2 linked regions of the Sus scrofa genome follow. The protein of the gene in region 2 binds, or shares a complex with, the protein of the main gene of each other region. Links are inferred from orthologs where the notes say so. Each region holds a gene or a part of one and is shown on either strand. Other genes may lie near its edges.

Region 1 (6,700 bases), on a different chromosome or scaffold from region 2:
TGCTTGATTACATTCTAGTAACTCTTTTTGCCTGAGGTTAAATGGTAGCAGCTCGTCTCTAACACGGGAATGTTTAAGAATCAGTGTAAAGAATGGCACACTTGAAAGTTAATGAAGCTGAGTGATGGTTACATAGTGACAGTCTCTTAAGTCTTCTCTGCTTCTGTGAATGTATGAAAATTTCCATAAATTCATACATTACCTGTGACTTTTTTTTTAGAGAAGGTCTGTAGTCTGGAACTTAAAAGATAGATTTTTTCTTGTTCCCTGGATTATTTCCTTTTAAATGGTGATGGCTTTCCTAAGCCAGTCACTTAGCTTATGGGACACAGAGCTGTGCAGGATGAAAGCTGCCTCCTCTCTCAGTGCCTTGGTTCTAGAAGAAGAGTGCTCTGAGGGTAGGGTGAGATGTTAGTGCATCTCCTGGTGGTGGCCTGGTGTTGCGCGGGGGGTAGACACAGCTGTCTCTGAGCTGGGACGAGCCTGCCCTTGAGCAGCCCGAGAATGGCGTGTGGGATGGACACAGCCCACGGGAGCCTGGAGGCTGTGCTCTGCCCTCTCCCAGGGAAGGACCTTAAGGGACGGGGTGTTAGAAGCAGGGAGCCAGGCCGGGATTCGCCATCTCTCTAGACTCACTCCTGCCTCTCTTCCTGCCTCAGGACTGCACTTGTGAGGAGTTCTGCCCCGAGTGCTCGGTGGAGTTCACCCTCGATGTGCGGTGCAACGAAGACCAGACGCGTCACGTCACATCCCGAGACCTCATCTCCAACAGCCCCCGGGTCATTCCGGTCAGCGACATCCTCCCTGCCCAGGGCCTTTGCTCTTCTCTTGGCTCCGAGTGGACCAGACTCGGGTGGCTCCTTATAAAACACTGGCTTTCCCTGTGTGCCCTCTGCCTTAACCTCAGCCTGGTGCCTGGAAGTGCTGATTCTGGAGTCTTGCCAGGGTGGGCAGAGCCATTGTTGGTGCTCTGGGCCCCCTGTCTCCCAAGGACCCTTTGAAGGCTGTGGTACTGTTTTGTTTTTTGTCTTTTCTCTTTTTAGGGCTGCACCCGAGGCATGTTGAGGTTTCCAGTCCAGGGGTCGAATCGGAGCTGTAGCCGCTGGCCTACACCATAGCCACAGCAACGCGGGATCCGAGCTGCATCTGTGACCTGCACCGCAGCTCATGGCAGTGCCAAATCCCCAACCAGCAGAGGTGCATGGGGACATTGAGCAGCAGCTAATAATGCCTGTTTGGGTTCCCTGCAGGTGACATCCCGGAACCGAGATAATGACCCCAGTGACTACGTGGAGCAGGACGGTAAGGGGCCCAAGAGAGGCAGAGACCAGACCCAGCCTCTCGTGCTGCCTGGTCCTGCAGTGGCGGCGCGGGTCAAACTGCGGAGAACCAGGCCTCTGCTGGCCCTCGCCCACCTCTCCCCTCTCCCCGCAGACATCCTCATCGTCAAGCTGAGGAAGGGCCAGGAGCTGAGACTTCGCGCCTACGCCAAAAAGGGCTTTGGCAAGGAACACGCCAAGTGGAACCCCACTGCAGGGGTGGCTTTTGAATATGATCCCGACAATGCCCTGAGGCACACGGTGTACCCCAAGCCGGAGGAATGGTATGTTCCTGGTGGGAGTGAGGAGAGGCAGGCAGGTCAGGGTTGGGCGGGTGTGGAAGTGGCTCCTGGCGACTGAGGTGGGGCACCTCACCATGAGACCTGGGCACCCCGAAAGCGGCTGCGGCAGCAACCCTGTGCTGATCTATGTCTGACCTCAGGCCAAAGAGTGAGTACTCGGAGCTGGATGAGGATGAGTCACAGGCGCCCTACGACCCCAACGGCAAGCCAGAGAGGTGAGTCCCTGGCTTGGCACCTGAAGGTAGCGTGGTGCAGGCTCTTGAGTGCCGGAGGCCCCTTCGCTTCCTTCTCATTCCCGCCAGCTGAGGAGGGGCTGCTCACTGCTGAACCCCACTCTGTGTACATCCCAGGCAGTTTATCATCCCCCTCGCGGTCACCGTGAGAAAGGGGGGCCCTTCTGTTATTCAGACTGTCCCTATTCTGATTTTCCACACCCAAAGAAAGATCAGCCTAGGATCAAAAACCTATGGCCCTTGGGAGTTCTCTTGGGACACAGCAGGTTAAAGATCCAGCACTGCCATGACAGCGGCTTGGGTCACTGCTGTGGCGCAGGTTCAGTCCCTGGCCTGGGATCTTCCACATATGGTGGGGAGTGGCCCAAAACAAAATACTTAAGTCCCAAATCTGACCAAAGGCTTAGAGTAAAAAGTACGAAAATGCTGGAGCAGGTGACGCTGCTTCCTTGATCTTCTGGCTGCCCTCAGTGTGGAATATGTATAGCAAACACACGAGCTTTGAGAGGCTCACAGTATCCTTTCCAGGTAGCTATGGCCTCCCTGAGGCCCTGCAAAGTGCCCTGGGACCTCTGTTTGTAGGGGGTTAGAGGGAGGCAGTCCAGGGGCTGGAGTTCGTCTGGGGGAAAGGAGTCAGGACTCAGAAGGGAGGGAAGGGGTGGGCCTGTGGCCAGGGTGGGGGCGGCCAGGCTGCCTCACGGAGGCCTCTGACCGGACTCTCGCCTCTCAGGTTTTACTACAACGTGGAATCTTGTGGCTCTCTGCGCCCTGAAACCATTGTCCTCTCAGCACTTTCTGGATTAAAGAAGAAACTGAGTGACTTACAGACCCAATTAAGCCATGAGATCCAGAGTGACGTCCTGACCATAAACTAGCCGCAGCTCACCTGTCTCAGCAGAAACAGCTCTTGAATTTCAGGCCTCTCCTGAGACTTTTGCTCCTGGGGACTGGACAGCTGTTGCTCAAGCTTCCTGGCACACCTGCAGTACTGGCTAGAAAGGTAGCGGTGGGGGAGGGCAGGCCATCCCAGGCTGGCACCGTCGCAGGTTGCCGGGGGTGCCACTGCTGTCGGAGGCGGAAAAGTCTCCTACATCCATTGAGCATCCGTGGCCCTGCCTGCTGATGGGCAGTGGTGCTCTCCACAACGCCGGATGTGCCTCCAGGGGCCCTGGCGTCCCCCGGTTGAGAACCACTGAGCTGGACTCTCCTTTTCTGATCAGTTCAGTGCTTTAGTTTGAATCCTTCCTGTCCACAAATTGGGATTTCGCTCTTGTACCTCAGGCTTCTGTGTTAGGATTGACTCTAGAATTCTTTCTCAGGCCGCCTGCAGGTCCTTCCAGTCCCGGCCCTGACCCGCGTACTGGCACTTCTCTCATATTCCCAGGAGTCCCTAACTTGAGACCCTTTGAGAACACTGTTAGACCCAGGCTGTCCCCCTCTCCCCATCAGTTATGAACTTAACAACAGTGGCCCATTTATTTGTCAGGAGGGCAGGGGACTTAAGGAAAGGTTGGCCTTGCCCCTGGCTCAGCCTTAGAGGTAGGAACATACCCAAAGCAGTTAATTAGGCAGCCTGGCCAGAGAAGCCTGGAGAAAATCAGAGACCTAGTACAGAAAGGAAGGGATGTGTATGAGTTGTCTTTTAAAAGTTTTTATTTTTGGCAATAAAGAGCACAACGTCATCTCCTTCATGCGTCATCGTGCCACTACCTGTGAGCCAGTCAGCTCCGCCTCCCTCTCCGTGGCCTCGGGGCTCCCTTCAGGCTAGCTTACTCCTCTGGGTGGTGGGTCCCTGGGTCAGGTCCAAAGCTGAGCTGGCTGTGGCCACCTCCCTGGCTCCAGGGTTCTGGCGGAGGGGGCCTTTTGCTTTATCCTCCTCCTGCCACGACTTGAACAGTGGTTATTTACAAGGTCTATTCTCACAAATCAGAGTCCTAAAATATTAAAAACAAAAAACTCAACACACACGCAACCGCAGGTTTGATGTGAGTAGAAAGATAGCCCTTCTGCACGGTAGTCAATAAATACCAGCACTAGAAAATCAATTGCTTTAATTGCATTTCAGCAGGGAGCCTCAGCACCATGTGGGGAGGAGGAAGTGGGAAGGTCTTGGTTTCTGAGTACTTCTGGCTGGCCGGGAGCCAGACGGGCAGAGGGGCTCCCCCTGCAGGGGCCCTGCCCACCCCAGTCAGTGAGAGGGCTGCGGGGTGCTCCCTCAGCAGTCCTCCTGCAGCTTGGCCTTCCCTGCTGGCCTGGCCCGGGGGCAGGGACACGCTCGGGTCCGGCCATCCTCCCCCGGCTGAGGTAACCAGCACCCCCAACCCCAGGGTGTCTTCTCAGCCTACTAAGCAGGAAGAAGCCTGGGCAGAAACCATTTTAAACCAGATTTTCACCTGAGGTGTCAACGAGATGTCACCTCTGCTTAAAACTCCAAGTGCAAGGCTGCCAAGTGGCACAATGTATGTTCGGATCCTTCCTGTGCCACTCTGTGGGCCCAGAGGGACTAAGAAGCCGCGTGCTGTCTCCACCCTGGCCTGCTTGGGAGAAGCCAGCAGCCAGAGCACCAGCCGGGAGTGCGGCTTGGCTGCCTCCTCTAGCCCTGGCAGCTCAGGAGGGCTGGTACCTTGGGGGACAGGAAATAGCTGTTCACATTGAAAAACAGCCTTGACTGGGGTTTGGTCATGGGCTTAAAAAATGTATGTGGTGGCAGGGAGGGACAGAGAGGGGAAATCTTATTAATATAGAATATGTCATAAGCCATATATATTAAAATCATTAACAGTATACAGTCCTGTGGTAGCTCCAGCCCCTCACACATGCTCAGGTGGCGTGGCCAGCCCTTTGCCTTGGTCCAGTCTCACCCTTGGGGACAAAGAAGGGACAGCTTGCTTCCTTCCTTCAGGCTCTTGGCCAACAGCCCCTCCAGGCGTCCACAATACGCGGTAAGTGGCCCCGCAGCAGGGGGCCCCAGCAGTCATCCGTGCGCGCCGCTCTGCGGTCACTGGGATGGGGTCTTGGCCTCGCTGCTGTCCCCCTGGCTGGGCTTTGGCTTGAGCAGGATGAATCTGTTGAGGAGGTCCGTTTCTGAGCTGGCCTGGGCTGCCCCATACGCTTCACCTATGGACACAGGGTAGGTTGAAGACGTGATCCCAGGACAGAAGGCCCTGCGGACCCGCCCTGTCCTCCGCAGAGCCTCTGGCCGGTGGGTGTGGGGCACAGCAGTGACTCACCGGCATAGCTGGAGGCCTCGGCGATGTTCTGGGAACCCGTGATGTGGTGCCAGTAGGCACTGCGGGGCAGCATGGTAGTGGGCGTGCAGGGGTATGAGTAATGTTCAGTGCCCTTGTTGAGCAGCTGTGGGGCAGAGAAGGGGCAGTGGCTAAGCCAGAGCAGGCGGCCCAAGACCCTGCCTGCCTCCTCCACACACCTGATGGGTGGGGGCTGCTGGCATGCTCTGCCGCCAGCCTGCCCGCCCACCAGCTCCCCCTTCCCGTGCTGAGCACACCACCTCACCCTCACGTTCTTTTCCATCTCCAGCAGGACCCGCTTGTGCTGCTCGGCAATGGCCAGGGTGGCACTGTGGACCCGCTGGTAAATCTGTTCTCCCTCCTGCGTCTGGAAGGTGTAGAGCCCTTCCCCAGCGTCACACATCCTAGGGACACAAGTAGCACAGAAGGCGAGGTGGTGGGGACTTCCCCGTATGTGTGCAGACGCCCAGTCAGGCTCTTCTGCGCCCCAGGCCCCGGTGGGAACAGGCAGGGCTGTCATCTGAGGATCTGACCCCCCAGCTCAAATGTGCTGAATGTTTTCTGTGTGCCAGGTGGTAGTCTAAATGCTTTACTAGAATTAATCCACTTCGACCATTTTACAGATGAGGAAACGGAGGCATTCAGAGGGTAAGTAACAACCAGAGTGACCCAGAGAATTACACAGAATTTCAGTCCAGGCAGGCTGGCTTGAGAGGTCACGCTATACCCAACCCTTAACCATACTTGACCCAGCCTAGGAGGGAGGACCTGCTATGCCCTATGTGACAGATGAGGAAATTGAGACTCAGATCCACTGTCCCAGAGCTAGTCAATGCCAATGCCGGCATCGGACCGGAACCCGAGCAGCCTGACCTGCTAAACAGCTTCACTTGACCTCCATCCCTTCACTTGGAAAACGGGGATATTCTGTTTCCTCTCAGCACGCTATGCTGATAAATACCTTAAGCTTCCAATACAGGGCCCAACACAAGTGGATGGCAGCCACTGTCAGAGCCATGGTTTGATGGCGGGGAGGCAGAGAGTCCTACCGGCCAGCCTCGAAGGTAAAGCGTGTGGCATCCCGGCCGTAGCGGCGCAGTGAGCAGAGGGGCCACGAGACGAGCTTCACGCGGGGGTTGTGTATGTCCCAGAGGTAGATGTTCTCGTGGGTGATCTGCAGCTTGCACTCGCCATACACGTCCAGGTTGGGGCAGGGCAGCAGGAAGACGTTGAAGCGGTCTGGATGGGAGTGGCCGAGTGGGCCTGGAGCTTTCTCAGGGGAGGCCTCTCCCCGGCCTCTCCCCACCCCCCAACCCCACGCCAGCGCCAGGCCTCACCTGTCTGCTCACACTGCACTCCCGGGGCCAGGAGGTCCGGCTCTCCCAGACTGATGTCGTTGAGCCTCGATCCCAGACACTCCACCGAGAGTGTCTTGTACCACTCCTCTGCCTCCAGCTCTGGAGAACATGGGATCTCAACACGGGCCAGCTCAGGGCCCCGCCGCTCCCACCCCATGTGGTTCGGCTGGAGTTCTCCCGCCGTGTAAGGCAGCGGGCAAGGCCAGGGGATTCTGCGTGTCTGCCCACCTCGGTCTGGGG
Region 2 (8,154 bases):
TCCCATTCCTGGGCATATATCTGGAAAAGACAAAAACTCTAATTTGAAAAGATACATGCACTCCAACATTCATAGCAGCACTATTTATAACAGCCAAGACATGGAAACAATCTAAGTGCCTCTCAACAGCTGACTGGCTTATGATGTTGTCAGAGTTGTCTTGTGGTGCTTCAGGTTAAGGATCCGGCATTGCCACTGAAGCAGCCTGGATCGCTGCTGTGGCGTGGGTTCAATCTTGGCCCGGGAATTTTCACATGCCGCAATGTGGTGTGTATATACATATATATATATATATTTACAGTGGAATATTACTTGGTCATAAAAATATTACCATTTCAGCAATACAGATGAACCTAGAGATTTTTATACTTAGTAAGTCAAAGACAAACGTTTTATGATATCACTTGTGTGTGGTATCTGAAAAATAACCCAAACAAGTTTATATTCAAACTGAAACAGACTTACAGACGTAGAAAATAAACTAGTGTTTATCAAAGGGGAAGGTGGAGGGATAAACTAGGAGTATGGAATTAACAAATACAAACTCTGACACATAAAATAGATAAGCAACAAGGATTTACTAATTGCACAGGAAACTATATTCAGTATCTTGTAATAACCTATAATGGAAAATAATCTGAAAAAAAATTAACAATCACTTGGCAGTAGGCCTGAAACTGACAAAATATTGTGAATCAACTATACTTCAAATCAAAATTAGGTGAACCCGAATATAACTTCATTTGGTTGGACTGAAATACATGTGTTTTTAATATCTTGAAAGAATGCTGTAATTATGTAGTATACTTCACAATAAGGCTTTCACTAGGATTAGCAAGTTTGAGATATGCTCTTTCTTCTCAATTTCTGTATTCTCCAAAAGAACCCAATACTACTGAACCTATAAGGGCTGTATGATGCCTAAATATGCCACATCATTTGCTTTATTTAGTCATTTATTATTTTAATTTAAGCCAATTTCCATGAATAGTCTCTTTAGATTTTCCTCTCTCTTGGCATTGTTGCTTAAATAGTCATTTGGACAGTAAAACATTTAACTGTTTAGACATATTAAGGTTTGGTGTCATTTTGCTTATGGTATATTAAAATTTATGCATTGAGTTTTTCCTTTTCTTTTGTTTGGCAGTTATCAGGTGTAAAACAGAATATTAATATTAAAAGAAGTGACTTTATATCCTCCAATATAAAACATTTAAAAAAAAAGATTCATCTAGAAGAGAGCACTATTATGTAACTAAGTACATGATACTACAAAGTACAAGTTCACAAACTGAAAAGCCAGTATAAATGTTTCACGTAAGGAACTGCTAAAATGAGAACAGTTATTTAAGCTTTCAGGTACAATGAAGAAAAAGTTCACATACAAACAATTTAGTGCAATGCTACAGTCAATCTTAAATGGGAAGAGTTTTCTGTTCACAAATGTTCAGTTTTGTGAATTCATGAACTTTAGCCTCCAAATTATTCAGACCCACCATTTTGGTGAAAGATCAGAAAATGTCTTTTTCTGAAACTAAACTGGCTGACACAAACGTATCCCAACTGAAGAAATCCTATAGCTAAATGAAGATTGTAAAACAATAAACTGGAATGTAATCCATGATGGTTTACTTGGTAGTCATACTGTGGGGTGAAGAGAAGACATTTGGGAAAACTTTAATCAAGGTATTGTTGCAAATTAGAGTGTGTAAAGAGAAGCTGATGCAGAGCCTCCAAGGAGTCTGAAGGTCTTAAATGGAGGTCATAAATAGGTTTTTTCCCCTTTTAAATTCAAGAACTATATTCAATTATTTCATAGGTCAGACCCAATCAGAGAATACCTGTCCTTATTCTCTTTAGGAATATTTCTGAGGGAAGTAAATCTCATATATTCTACCCCATGTCCTGTTTGCAGTGATCCTAGTTTTAACTGATGTCAAAACACTTGATCAATTTAGTTAAGAATACTAAGTGATAGGGAAGAAAAAGAGGTGAAAGGTGAGGGATTCCATGTACAAACAGTACTACTTAAATAAGGAGGTAAAAAGTCCTCTTAAAATGGTAAGAAATTAAAGACATGGGTTAATTTAACTTTTCGGGCCAATGGTCACTTGAATATTACATGAATTACAAATGGTGATGGAATCATAATTTTATATAATAGTATAGGACAATATGATTTCCTATGGTCTTATCTCTTTCAGTGTTCCCAAAGAGGCCACTGTGCAGGGAACTGAAAAGCAACTGATCTTTCTCAAATCTTCTTTCAGGAGCATAAGTTTGACATTTTGTTTTGCTTTGCTTTTTGAGGATCAACTCCCTCACTTGTCCAGACTGCATTCCATGTCACTCGCAATTCCTAGGGACAAGAAAATTAGGAACTGTTGAGTTCTGTCTTCTAAACAGAGTATTCCGTTTTGCGTGAAATGCTGATATAAAGGCGGGATTAGCTTGGGCAGAGCAGGTCAAACGCCTACTGAGTTGCCCTTGAATACATGGCCATTTTCTACCTGCTCTCTTGCAGCCATGAGAGTTGATGGGTCAAGGGCAAGTATTCAAGATGTTAGCACGTGCTGAACATATGGAATCACTGAATTTTTGCAACATTTAAAAAAAAAAAAAACCAGGAAAAGTTGTGCGGTCATAATCCAGGTGGTGACCTTTTTTGGGGGGTTAGTTTTAACATTTCTACCACCTTGAGAAGTTATTTGAAGTAAGTGGGCTTGGAGAGGCCGGGACTCTGGGGAACGGAAATTTAAAGAGACTTTGTAGTTGTACTGATGGAGACAGACAACTCTGCTGGCTTCAGGGATTATTAATTGTGGAATGTAATAATATGTAATAATTGTTGAATGTAGTAAGAGGGGAACCAAATCAGTTCCCTTTCAGGAACTCATACACAATTTTGCAAGCGAAAGGCCCACCCTCAGCAAGGCGTGCTAACGCTTCAGCAACTAGGAGTCTGACCTTAGCTCACGCTCGGAGATGACTCCGCACTTAAAACTTTTGCCGGAAGCCGGGCCACGTGACCCGCCCTTTTCCACAGCCATGCCTAGCGGGGCAGCCGCCAGAGCTCCTACATTTCCTAGCCCCTCCAGCGTGGGACAGCTCAGAATCTCCCGACAGGAGGCGGAATCAGCTAGGTTTCGACTCGAGCGTCGCCACAACTCACGCTTTTCTCCAACAGAGCTTTGCAAGTTCTTCATCCCAAAACAGCAGCCGGAGACTTCCGCCTGGTTGCCGACCACGTGATCACGCGACATTTGGGGAGACCGCGGTCGGACTTCCCTACTTAAGTCCCCGGGTCCCGCCCACACAACACCCTCCCCTGAGCGTGACGACGCGGCTCGCGGCGGCCTCCGCCCCGGCGCGCCTGCGCACGCGGCTCTCGCGGTGTCTTGCGCTCAGCCCCGCCCACCTCTGCCCCCGCCCTTTCCGCCCCTCCCTCCCCCTCCGCCCTGTCTCTCGGCGGCAGCGGCGGCAGCGGCGGCTCGCGCAGCTCGTTGGCTCACTATATAAAGGGAGAAGCGGGCGGACCGGACGGCTGGAGCTGCAGCCGGTGGCGGCAGCGGCGGCGCGGGGAGCGGCGACCAGTGGTGGTTTCCCTCCTTGGCGCGGGGTGGGGAGCGGGCAACGCCCCCCAAACCCCAGAAGGGTCGTGCCCTTTTTTTTTTTAAGGGCGATCCTCGAGTTTTTAGCTCCGGGAGGACTGCCCCCTCCTCTTCCTCCCCTCGCCGATCCCCTCTAATCCAGCAGGATCCGATTTTGTTTAAAATTCCCCCCCCAATTTTGCGGTGGCTTGGGTCACCCTCTGGGTGTTTTTTTTTTTTTTTTTCGTTTTGTTTTTATCTTGTTTTCTCGGGGCTTGCCCCCCTCTTGTTTGTGTTGTGTGTGGAAATGGCGAACTCGGCAAATACAAACACCGTGGTAAGGACGTGGTTCGGTGGCCGGCGGGGGCTTCGTTCAGGCGGCAGCAACGGCCGGACCGGGCGGGGGCGGGGACGGCGGCGACTCCCGGCCTCAACTCTCAGCTGCCCGCGCGGCTGCCGCCGCTGCCGCCGCCGCTTCCCGCCTCGGGCGGAGCGGGCCGGGGCGCGGGGCGGCGGGCGCGGGGGGGTGCCGAGGGCTCGGGGCCGCGGCGGCAGGGAGGGCGGGGGTGCCGGCGGGGCCTGGAACTGCCGCGGGGCGGTCCGGGCCGCTGAGGCGGTTGAGGCCGGGATGAGCGCGCGGCCCTGGCCCCAGACCCCATCCGCCAGGAGGGAGGGCGGGAGGGGAGCCTCCGCTTCCTCCCCGAAGCGGGTCCTGCCGCGCTGGCTGGAGAAGGGCTCTCCGAGCAGCCTCAAAACAAAAACCGTGTCTTGGGAACTGGGCGAATCCCCAAGACCCACCGCGATCCACTTTAACGCAGTGGAAGGCTAATGGCTACTTGGGGGTTACTTTGGGTGTTGTGGCGGGTTGTGCTTAGGAGGCTTCACTGGGGCCATTTTACGTTTAAGAAAAAAAAAAAAAAAAAAGGACGAAGGTTGAAAAGCACTTATCTCGGTTCCTTCCGAATCGGTAAAATGGCGAAGGGGAAGCAACCCCCCCCATCGTATCTTCGACTAGCAAAAACACCAAAACAAACAAAGCTTACAGTGGTCAAAGTGCCCCCACTTTCGCCTCGAAATTTGCCTACTTCTCACCGTTTGTCCCTTTTTTCTTACTTGCGATCACGTAGGTTTGCAAAAAGCAGTCACATAAATAACCTTTTCAGTCACCAACGCAATGTGATCACTAGTCCACCCCACTCTCTTATTTTTATTGTGACAATAAAACACGTTTTTGCCCGGTCCCAAATGCAGACAAGCCCGCGGCCGCCCGACTCCGTACCGTTGACGACTCGGGTCGATCCATCATGGCTGCGGCCGCTTACCCTGCCTTTCAGTCCCTGAGCCTTGTGGTCCTCCTCCCTTTGGCTGCCCTGTTTATATAGAGCCATTGCCGCTCTCTAATATAGACTCTGCCAGGATGGGAAGGTGCTTTTCAGGCCTACGTCACCGCCTCTCCATTTAAACACCAGATCCGGCTTTAAATAGTGAGAGCTGCTGAGAGCGGGGCTGGGAGGTGCGTGCTCTCGAGGCGAGAGGCAGGCGTGTGTAGAGCTCAATTTATTTCCAAGTCCTTTCGTACTCTAATTTCATACCCAATCGGGGCTGCTTTAGGAGCCCTAAGTTTTTGTTTTGATGCAGCAGCTGGGACTTAACCTTTGTTAGGGGAAAATAGAATTGCTGTCCCTTTTTATTTTGTGTTTTGTTTTTAAAGAGAATTTTAGCTTAGATGTCTTAATTGTTCCTGTATTGAGAAGATGCATGCATTATTTTTTTTTGTTTTTTGTTTGTTTTTGAAAAGCTTTAGGCATTACCTGTTAGCTGTAGAGGATTTGATTTTGGTAGTGCTTTGTTTATCAAGTATTCAGGGAATGTTAGACTATAGCTCGTAATACTTCATTATTTTTCCTATAATAAATATTTGAGACACGAAGCTTTTCAAAGTAGATAAGTATCTAAAGCTTTGACATAGGACCTCCTGTCAACAATACGTGTATGTATGGGATATTATGAATAATGTGAGAAGGCTTAGTGCAAACTGGGTATTCAAAAATTAAAATTCTAAGTAGACGGTATTTTCATTTATTTGCATGGTAATATGGTATCCAATATAGATATTAATCCAGTTTATTTTCCAATATTGTACTAGAGTCTCAAACTTTTGAAGAAACCCTTTAATCATTAGCTTATGCCACTGATGGCCCTTTAATTAAAGTTTCAAAGTTTGGACTATCTTGTTTTTGAAAAACAGGACAAACCTAGATTACTATGTATTTCATAAAAGACAAAAACTTTGGCTCAAGTAAAATAAAGTTTAGCATTTTAAATGAACTTGCTTAGTTCACATAGTGCCTATGTATTCACATATTTTTAATAACATCAGTATTTTGGACACTTTTTAAATTAATGAGCAATCCTGAATTACTCTTTATGCGTATACTTCTGAAGAATACACATTTCCCTTCCTTCAGCTGTAGTGCATGTGAATCTCTGTGGTCACTTTGCAAGTTAATTAAAGCACCTAGGCAAACTCTTAAAGTAAGATTGATTCATTAAGTAGGGAGTTCCAGAGGAAAGCACATTGTACCTATAAATGTGTGGATCACCAAGCAGATATTTTTAGGGGTGACTGACTTCAGAAACACTAAAACAGCATCTAGTTTGCTGAAAAAATAATTTATATCATCAATATAAGATTTATACTACTAATTTAAAATTATACTGGGGCTTTATAATGCCTTGGTTTAAATATATATATATATATATTTTTGTAATTCAGTAGTTGAATTACCATAGATAAAGTGATATCCATAGTCATATAGACTTTCCTCATTATGGAATCAGTGTTGAAATAAGGAGGCACTATAGAGATGCAGATTTTACACATGAATAATTTTATTCACAGAGGCAGATTTGGAAAAATAAAAAAGGAAGTTAGTGAATGGAACAGCAAAGGTGAGAACCTAGGTACATGAATTGTTTTTCTTTGGTGATGAAAGGGCACAAGTAGTTTTTAATAGTCGAGGTAGGTTGTATGGAGGAACTTACTATTTGTATTGTTGACTAGATAAGGACGGATTTTCTTAGAGGTTTCCCCCTATGATAACTGTATTGCTGATAGAAATGCTAATGAAACGTTTATTTCTGTTTGAGGTTTGCTTATGAGAGCAATCCCTTGGTTTTATTTTAACTTAAGCAAGATATAAAACACAAATAATGACAAAGAATTAGAAGAAAAAGGCTTTTAGCTCTGTATAATAATAGATAGGATTTATAACAAGGTCACTCTGGTTTTATACTCTAACAGGCAAACTTCCTTTTGTCTGTCATGTTAAAAATAATTCCTGTCTCTTACCTTTTGGTTTTAAAAAACTATGTGCTTTTGAAAGTGCTTTCACATCTATTCTCGTTTTATTTTTCTGGCAGCCTTGTAAAAGCAAGCTCCCCTACCAGTAATGCCAACAATAATAACTGCGATGATAATAACAATAATTTGAAAATAAACACTGAGGCTGTTCATGATTCAGTTCTGTAGCATCATCTGGGCAGTAGTAGAAGGAGAGAAATCCTGGAAAAGAGATCATTGTTCCTGAGACCTTGAGACCTGTTATTATAGATACATTGAACAACCTAATGTTATAATTTAAAGGTACAGACTGGGTAACAAAAATAAAAATTAGGTGATTTTTGATTTTGAATACTCATTAGGTTGCAGATTACCAGGCACATGATCACGGGACACAAGGTTTTCTCAAGTCTAAGACAGTGGTAATGTTAAAGAGATGTAACAGTAGTTAAACCAAGCAAGGAATAATAACCAGACATAGCAACCCATAAAACTGTATGGTTGGATAATGTTAAGTGTTTTGACTATAACAACATTGGAAATTGTATGGACCTTGTATGGGTAGTGATCTCCTGTGTATGAATTGTTTTATTAAAACACGCAGTCATTAAAAAACTCATTTTAACTAAGACAAATGGTATTTATTGGAATGGCCATGTCTTTAAAGTTATATTTTCTAAAATAAGTTTTATAGAGTTGGAAAAATGATCATTGTATTACATTTAATTTGTTTTGAATTTGTGAAAACGTGTTGTATATTTTAACATGTGAAAAGCAATCTTTTTCAATAGTCTTTTATTTTCCTTTTAAAGCCTAAATTATACAGATCTGTGATCGAAGATGTTATTAATGATGTGAGAGACATCTTTTTGGATGATGGAGTCGATGAACAAGTTCTGATGGAACTAAAAACTGTGAGTTTGCCTTTTTTTTTTTTTGTCTTTTTGCCTTTTTTTTCTAGGACCACTCCCGTGGCATATGGAGGTTCCCAGGCTAGGGGTCCAATCGGAGCTGTAGCCGCTGGCCTATGCCAGAGCCACAGCAACGCGGGATCCGAGCTGCGTCTTCAACCTACACCACAGCTCACAACAACGCCGGATCCTTAACCCACTGAGCAAGGCCAGGAATTGAACTTGCAACCTCATGGTTCCGAGTCAGATTCGTTAACCACTGTGCCACGACGGGAACTCCAAGTTTACCTCTTTTTTTAAAAACAGTCTC

What was found. The genes of interacting proteins can lie anywhere in the genome.
Region 1: GTF2A1 (region 2) and POLR2C share a complex: the UniProt entries of both Homo sapiens proteins name them as parts of the TBP-based Pol II pre-initiation complex. The link is inferred for Sus scrofa from reciprocal best matches to the Homo sapiens genes GTF2A1 and POLR2C.

What each region holds. Positions count from the first base shown.
Region 1 is NC_010448.4:19,397,577-19,404,276, forward strand, and holds the end of POLR2C (DNA-directed RNA polymerase II subunit RPB3), read left to right. Parts: intron 1-659; coding exon 660-788; intron 789-1,250; coding exon 1,251-1,302; intron 1,303-1,434; coding exon 1,435-1,603; intron 1,604-1,761; coding exon 1,762-1,836; intron 1,837-2,584; coding exon 2,585-2,729; 3' UTR 2,730-3,543; downstream 3,544-6,700. Other genes in the region: DOK4 (docking protein 4), read right to left, coding at 4,853-4,971, 5,085-5,208, 5,368-5,506, 6,152-6,341, 6,440-6,559. UniProt on the Homo sapiens protein: Core component of RNA polymerase II (Pol II), a DNA-dependent RNA polymerase which synthesizes mRNA precursors and many functional non-coding RNAs using the four ribonucleoside triphosphates as substrates.
Region 2 is NC_010449.5:104,004,615-104,012,768, reverse strand, and holds the start of GTF2A1 (transcription initiation factor IIA subunit 1), read left to right. Parts: upstream 1-3,450; 5' UTR 3,451-3,897; coding exon 3,898-3,927; intron 3,928-4,869; exon of another isoform or gene 4,870-4,956; intron 4,957-7,745; coding exon 7,746-7,847; intron 7,848-8,154. UniProt on the Homo sapiens protein: TFIIA is a component of the transcription machinery of RNA polymerase II and plays an important role in transcriptional activation. TFIIA in a complex with TBP mediates transcriptional activity.